Xenopus tropicalis: one gene and its partner. The main gene of each other region encodes a partner of the protein of the gene in region 2 in a complex. Links are inferred from orthologs where the notes say so. Each region holds a gene or a part of one and is shown on either strand. Other genes may lie near its edges.

The links. The genes of interacting proteins can lie anywhere in the genome.
Region 1: the proteins of grm5 (region 2) and homer1 are in contact, whole or in part, in a crystal structure (PDB 1DDV), measured with the Rattus norvegicus proteins. The link is inferred for Xenopus tropicalis from reciprocal best matches to the Homo sapiens genes GRM5 and HOMER1. Residues at the interface, in XP_006229721.1 of Rattus norvegicus: Thr1155, Pro1156, Pro1157, Phe1160; in NP_113895.1 of Rattus norvegicus: His12, Phe14, Trp24, Thr70, Ser71, Gln72, Lys73, Phe74, Gly89, Phe90.

What each region holds. Positions count from the first base shown.
Region 1 is NC_030677.2:185,978,360-185,981,859, forward strand, and holds part of homer1 (homer protein homolog 1), read right to left. Parts: intron 1,622-3,500; exon of another isoform or gene 1,602-1,621; intron 1,381-1,601; coding exon 1,224-1,380; intron 1-1,223. UniProt on the Homo sapiens protein: Postsynaptic density scaffolding protein. Binds and cross-links cytoplasmic regions of GRM1, GRM5, ITPR1, DNM3, RYR1, RYR2, SHANK1 and SHANK3.
Region 2 is NC_030678.2:167,827,323-167,831,611, reverse strand, and holds the start of grm5 (metabotropic glutamate receptor 5), read right to left. Parts: upstream 2,801-4,289; 5' UTR 2,439-2,800; intron 1-2,438. UniProt on the Homo sapiens protein: G-protein coupled receptor for glutamate. Ligand binding causes a conformation change that triggers signaling via guanine nucleotide-binding proteins (G proteins) and modulates the activity of down-stream effectors.

The DNA of each region.
Region 1 (3,500 bases), on a different chromosome or scaffold from region 2:
TACGTGTGTTTTAGCAGAGGCAATTCTCAGTATTGTCTATGGCAGGGTATTTTCTGGTGTTTAGTAGCCATGACAAGAAGCTGCTACTAAGTAGCTCCATGTGTCTTCACCCTACAAAGAAGCCAGCGCTACACATTAGAACTGCTTTCAAGTAACCTATTGTTTCTCCTACTCCCATGTAACTGAAGGAGTCCCAAGTCGGACTTGGATTTCTTACTATTGAGTGCTATTCTGATATCTACTGGGTGCTGCTATCTTGCTCCCTTCCCATTGTACTGCTGATTGGCTGCTGGGGGGAAGGGAGGGGAAGATATCACTCCAAGTTGCAGCACAGCAGTAAAGTGTAACTGAAGTTTATCAGAGCACAGGTCACATGGCTGTGGCACCCTGGGAAATGAAGAATATGGCTAGCCCCATGTGAAATTTCAGAATTAAATATTTAGAAAATCTGTTTGTGTTTTTGCAAATCGGATTTCAATGCAGGATTCTGCTGGAGAAGCTCTATTAACTGATGCATTTTGAAAAAAAAACTTGTTTTCCCATGACAGTATTCCTTTAAGGACAGGGTTATGTTTCAAAACAAAGGATCAGCCCGTCAGAGACGAACTCTTTGGTGTTTAAATGGGCACCAGCAAAAGACAATTGTAGTGGATGGAATTCCAAAGTATCCATCTTGCTGCTGAGTATTCCTATGTAATGCACAGGTACAGTAAATACAGTGCACTCATCAATGGATGAGCATATACTATGCAACAAAAATCCAAAATCCATACGCAGATGTATAATTGGCAAGGGGCATCACTGCAAGTGGTTGGTTTGGCTCAGGGGTGGCCCTTATCCCAGTCTGAAATGTGAAGAACACTGAAAAATCAACAGATGCTTGGGAAATATCTCCTAGCTGTAGCCTAAACAATGCCAGTAATGTTACTGGAATATACCAGCAATACCGTGTCTCACATGATACATATCTAAAACATATGGACCAATTATTTTGCATTTCAGTTAAACAATAAAGGTAACTAAAGCACTTTTCACATTGTTTTGAAATTGTGCAACCAGATCCATTCGGATTAACAGACACATGGATGGATATACCCGCTCTCAGCATGCCCAGTAACAGGGAAGTGGGTTGTGCTAGACTTGTATCTGATGCCAGCTGATACTGCTCGGCACTAATTAACTCCATCTTGCCAATGATAACCAATGAAAAAGCACCTTCTTACCTTTGATCCATCCAGACTTATTATCCTGTAGACATTTCTTGTGCTATCATAAAAATAGGACACTGTGACGGCATGCTTGCTGGTTGGAACCCAGTTCTTCTTAGTGTTGGGGTCTATCTGGAAGACATGGGCTCTGGTGCTAAAGATGGGTTGCTCGCTGTAGGGGAGAAAGCAGAAGAACTGAATCTCATTTGGTCTCAGGATAGTTGTCCAAGATGAAGACAGAGGCTCTCCCCAACAGGAAGCTTCAGTCATGTCACTTTCCATGCTTGTCCCCAGCTAGAGAGGCATAATGGCTGCAATATTAAATCATGGCTGTCTGATGGTCCAGCAGGGTGATACACAAAACCTAATTATAGGCCTGTTACGGAGCCTTACCTCCACCCCTATTCCATCTGCCGGCACTAGTAAAACAGCTTGTCACAATCACACCAAACACTGCTCTAACACAGGTCCTGTCTTATTTTGCCAGGAGTTGGAAGCACTTTAAAACTATGCGGTAATCCCGAGCCTTAATAGCTTGCATGTGTTAATTAAATCACAGCTGCTCCACTGAACCGCACAAGGTATGTAACATTTCCAGATGTAATCACACCACATTTACCCTTAAGTGCAGAATGCAGAAGGGGTTATCCCACCGATTCCCCCCATCTCTCTCTCATAGCAGGGAAGGTAAAAAAAGACAGAAAAACACAAGTGTAGCGCACTGGCTGTCAAGGCATTCTGGGAGCTGTAGTTATAGTTGGTAGGCATCATAAATAAGAGTATAATGAAATACCTGTACAGTGGTTTATATATTAAAGGGGTTGTTCACCTCGGAGTTAACTTTGAGAATGATGTAGAGAATAATATTCTGAGACAATTTGCAATTGGTCTTCGTCTTTTATTATTTGTAGTTTTTTAGTTATTTAGTGCAGGAGCTCTCCATTGTGGAGTTTCCCCAGCTATTTGGTTGCTAGGGTCCAAGTTACCTTAGCAACCAGGGAGTGGTTGGGAGCTGCTGGGGTTAGTGACCCCCATTTAAAAACTGCAAAGAGTTCGAAGAAGAAGGCAAATAATTAAAAAACTATAACAAATAAATAATGAAGACCAATTGAAAAGAATAGGACATTCTATAACATACTAAGAGTTAACTTAAAGGAGAACCACCCGTTTAATGCACAAAATTTTAGGGATGCACCGAACCCAGTTTTTTGGGTTCAGCCGAACCTCCAAATCCATCCCCGATGGATTCGGCTGAATACCGAACTGAATCCGAATCCTAATTATCCGGAAGGGGTAAAAATTGCCGCTTCCAAATCCTCATTAGCATATGCTAATTCATGCTAATTAGGATTCAGTTCGACCAGGACCGTGGATTCGGGGGAATCCGAACCCTGCCGAAAAGTGGGGTAAGCACTTACAGTATATTTCATGGGGTCTGGGTAAGATCAGGGGGCTCATTTATAGAAGTGCAGGAGCTTTAAGAGGTCTACAATTGCCCCCCCTTAGTGCTAATGAACAGAGTAGTTGCACTGGGTAATGGCAGCGCTTTGCGCCTTGTGCTAGATATGATGGTCTGCAAAGTGCGACACTGTCGAGCACAAGTCAGTTTTGTATTTAACTATTACTCCCTCACCTGCATGTCTAAACCACATGGACTTTGTGCATCCCATGGTGCAATGTATAAGGAATAAGGTATTTCTTGCCCTTATGATCCCACAGTGGGAGGGGCCAGTTTCAACGTACAGGAAGGAAAATGGGACAATAGCCCAGGACCCATTTTTTTTAAGGGGGGCCCAGCGCCAGGTAAAGGGCAGTGATGGGATGGATTGGGGCAGAGTCAGAATGCAGCCCAGGGCCAAAGGAATAATTAATCATCCCATGAGTAGGACAAGCAGAGCTAGAACATTGTCATGGAGCCTTACATATGGGTCTTTAGAGGGTCATTAACATCAACAACTTCAGTCTTTGTGCCTGAAAACAATACATAACAATACCAAATGGTCAGCAATACAGAGTCGTTTTGGTTTGTTATTAATTATGAAAAAAATCAGAAATCATATCCAAAATCCATCATTTCTATCACAGTAGAGTAACTGATATGCCTTATGCATTGCGGTATGGCTGATGGGATGGCTACACCCATATCCCTAATCCTAATGTGAGGTTATAAGGAGGACTTATATAAATGCATGTTTATTTGTTGCCATTACTGGTTTTTATTTACCCTTTATGTATCAGTAATACAACATGAACTAATTCATAGGTTTTAATCAGTGCAATATTTTTTTAAAC
Region 2 (4,289 bases):
GTATAGGGATTCCCAGGGTGCCAGTTCCCCGCGCCATTACAGTTACACCATTGCACCACAAGCCATGTCCCTATGATCCGGCCGTTTCAGTGAATGGAGCTGGTTCTGGGCTGGATGATGGGCTGTCGAGTCAATGAGCCAGTGGGGCTGAAGGAGAGAATGCCAAGGCTGGCAGCCCCCAGGATTAGAGAGACCTCGTGCCTGTCAGCAGTCATGTGTTCAGCTCCTGATCCCGGGTAGCACGTCTCTCTGCTCCCATGACATGGGGGGGCTGCTATCAGGGGCCCCATACCATAGACTGCTATATAGGCTTTCATCATTCTGTCCCCAGGCTGAGTTATTATCCCTTCTTTATATGGTAGCTACATAGGCTCTCTGCTTGCACCCAGCACCATGTCACTTTAAACGGATGGTTCACCTTTAAGTTAAATTCTAGTATGTTATACAATGGCCAGTTCTAACCAACTTTTCAATTGGCCCTGATTATTTACAGTTTTTAAATGATTTGCCTTCTTCTTCTAACTCGTTGCAGCTTTCAAACAGGGGTCACCGACCCCCGCAGGCAAAAGTTGTTATTGCTACTTTTTAGAACTTATTTTTCTATTCAAGTTCTCTCCTATTCATATATCAGTCTTTCATTCAAACCACACCCTGGTTGCTAAGGTAATTTGGTTCCTAGCAACAAAATAGCTGCTGAAACTCCAAACGGGAGAGCTGCTGAACAAAAACTAAAATAATTAAAAAAAACTACAAATAATAAAAAATGAAGACCAAAGTCAAAGTCGGCTTTTCACTCTACTGCGCATGGGTGAGGATAGAAGACGAAAAAAGGAAAACTTGCCCGCATACACCCCGGCTGGGAGTTTCAGGCATGTGATTAAAGTCACTTGGGGGTGCCTAACATTTTCATGTAGCTTTTCCTTCCCCTTTAAACATTTTTCAGTGATTTTAGAGTTATTGGTAAATTTCCGCTTTCGCCATTGGTGGATTGTTTTGCGAAACGGATGAAAATATTCGCCACGCGTCCAAAATTGTTGTCCAAATCAAAAGAATGGTAGCGTGTCAAAAAAGAACGGGCGTAAAAAGAATAGCCGCAGGCGAAAAAAGAATAGCCGCGGGTGACAAAAGAATAGCCGCGTGCGACAAAAGAATAGCCACAGGTGACAAAAGAATAGCCGCGGGCATCAAAAGAATAGCCACAGGCGACAAAAGAATAGCCGCAGGCGACAAAAGAATAGCCGCAGGTGACAAAAGAATAGCCGCGGGCATCAAAAGAATAGCTGCAGGTGACAAAAGAATAGCCGCAGGCGTCAAAAAAGAATAGCTGCAGGTGACAAAAGAATAGCCACGGGCATCAAAAGAATAGCCGCAGGTGACAAAAGAATAGCCGCAGGTGACAAAAGAATAGCCGCAGGAGACAAAAGAATAGCCGTGGGCGTCAAAAAAGAATAGCCACAGGTGACAAAAGAATAGCCGCAGGTGACAAAAGAATAGCCGTGCGACGAAATAATACCCGCAGGCGTCAATTTTTTTTTGACGCACAACATTTTCACAGTTTCGCTAATCTTTTAAAAGATTCGCAAGCAAAACGGGACATATTCGCTCATGACTAGTAAATATAATTGCCCTTGAAAGGGGAATCAGTCTCTTACAATCCCCCTCCACTGCTTTGCCTGACTATTCACACTTTTCTATTGTATCAGGAGTCAGCTCTCCTCCAGCCAAGACCGTTCCCACAATGCCTTGCCTGTTCTGCCATTAACAGATCTGCAGAGAAGGAGAACTACATTTCCAAACAAATCCCACAAAAATATCTGTTGCTTGTGTGGACATTCCCTTTAATAAGACATGAAAAAAGCAGATTGCAGGGCTGTGCGTTTGTTAACCCTTTGAAACAAAACAAGGAAATATTTTTCACATAATTTCCCCTTGCAGCAACTCCCAGCATCCTTTAGCAGCTGAAACACTATCAATTATCAACTTCCACCTTTCAAACAGGTAAGAAGGCATGAAATGCCATGTTTAATTCTCTAAGCCCTCTATGGCATGTATTCCTTCCAATATACCTGTTTAACCCTTTACATGTCAGGGGCAGTAAAACCTACAGCACTGACACAAAGGGACAGAATACCAGTGCCACAGACTCAACATTCCCAGTTTGACCTTGACCTATGTTGTATGCAGGAAAAGCAAACCTACCCAGCACAGAAAGGGTTAAGGGAAAGTGGCATCCATCACCTTCAAACCAATAGACTTTAACAAACTTCAGGTGGTGGCAGTATTTGCAAAAGTGCAGTAAAGTAAAATTGGAATATGGAAAATTGTGGCATAAAAACATTGTGGTGAGCTTTGGCATTAAATCTGAGTATTATTTACCAGTCTGCCAGGACAACGTATTGTAAAAGTTAATATAAAAGCGAACTTCCCCTTTAACTTACTCTCTTTAGATGCATCCCAATTGGGTCTGGCTTCCCCAGATTTTCTTTCCTTTGCGGAATGGAGCGGATCTATCACGGGCTGCCTCTGCCTTTTAAACACATTAGTTCCACTCTGCTAATAGTTCCGATCTAATTTATCTGCAATAACATTTGTGTGGCCTTTTAATGAGGAAAAAAAACAAACAGGCGGTTAAACATAATCAGACTTTTAAGTTGGCTCAATTAAGCAGAGATCCTGCGTGTCATATTGGGGAATAGGCAAAAACTAAGGCTTAGTAGTAAATACAAAAATCACATATCAATCCCCCCAACTCTTTTTCTTTTTTGGAAGTTAGAAAGGGAATGGGAGGGGTTCTGTACTTTGAGGAATGAGGTGGGGGGGGGGGGGGGGTAAGAAAGAATGAAAGAAATCATGCCCTTGATGTAAGCCTGCACATGTGATTGTGCTTGGTAATAAGTAGGGAAGAAAAGTGGATAAGATTCCCAATCCTATAGATCAGGCTCGGGGGGAGAGTGAGGAGCAGCATGGAAAGGAACATGGTCCCTCTGGCATTCTGCTGCCTGTTCTTCTTCCTCCATGTTTGCAGGGGCCAGTTCCCAAGGGCATGTAGCACCGCAGAGTCGCTCCTGAGCAAGGAGTGTTGCCCTGTGTGGTCTGGAGATGGGTCCTCTTGTGGCCAGCTATCAGGAAGGGGTGTCTGCCAGGATGTTGTCCTGACCAGCTCTGCTACTGGCCCTCAGTTTCCATTCTCTGGGGTTGACGATAGAGAGAACTGGCCAACAGTATTTTACAACAGGACGTGCCAATGCCTTGGCAACTTCATGGGCTATAACTGTGCAGACTGCAAATTTGGCTTCAGAGGGCCAAACTGCACAGAGAGAAGAACAATGATAAGAAAGGAGATATTCCGAATGAGCAGTGCTGAGAAGAGCAAATTCGTTGCCTACTTGAATTTGGCTAAGCACACCACCAGCCGTGACTATGTCATAGTCACTGGCACCTACGCCCAGATGAATAATGGCTCCAACCCTATGTTTGCGGATATCAACGTGTATGACCTCTTTGTCTGGATGCATTACTATGCCTCCCGTGATGTCTTCATAGGAGAAGATGCTCTCTGGAGAGACATTGACTTTGCCCATGAAGCTCCGGCTTTTGTGCCCTGGCACAGGTACTTCCTGCTGCACTGGGAACATGAGATTCAGAAACTCACAGGAGATGAGAATTTTACCATCCCTTTCTGGGATTGGAGAGATGCCCAAGGTTGTGACATATGTACGGATGAGCTTCTGGGAGGGGTCCATCCCACCACCACCAGCCTATTAAGCCCGGCATCCTTCTTCGCTTCATGGCAGGTAAGACACTTTTCCTTAATATGAGGTGCAAGCCCCAATCCTTTGCATTGCATCCCTGCACTAGGTATAGTTTATGGGGGGGGGGGGGGGGGGGGTAGACAAGACAATAAGCCTATAGTGGTTGGTTTTGCTGCTTCTGTGTGATGAGCAGCTACACTATTGCCCTGTAAAGCCCCAAATAATCTTTATTTTTTAGAACCTTTATTTATATAAAATCCACTAACTGCAAGTGAAGTTAATGCTTCACCTATTGAAACACAAACAGTAACAAAACCCCTACGTGCTGCTGGTTGATAAGCAGAGCTGAAGGGCACTAATTTCCAGTCTCTTGTTTAAAGGGATGGGGTGCAAGAGAGATGCAATGATAATGTATATTGGGATAGTCATATTCTTTATTCATTCATCTGTTGTTCAGTTACAACTCCAAACACCAATTATAGAAGGCTGTTGTAGGGGTGCTGGGAGTGGTACCGCAACAGCTGAACTCGCTGCACT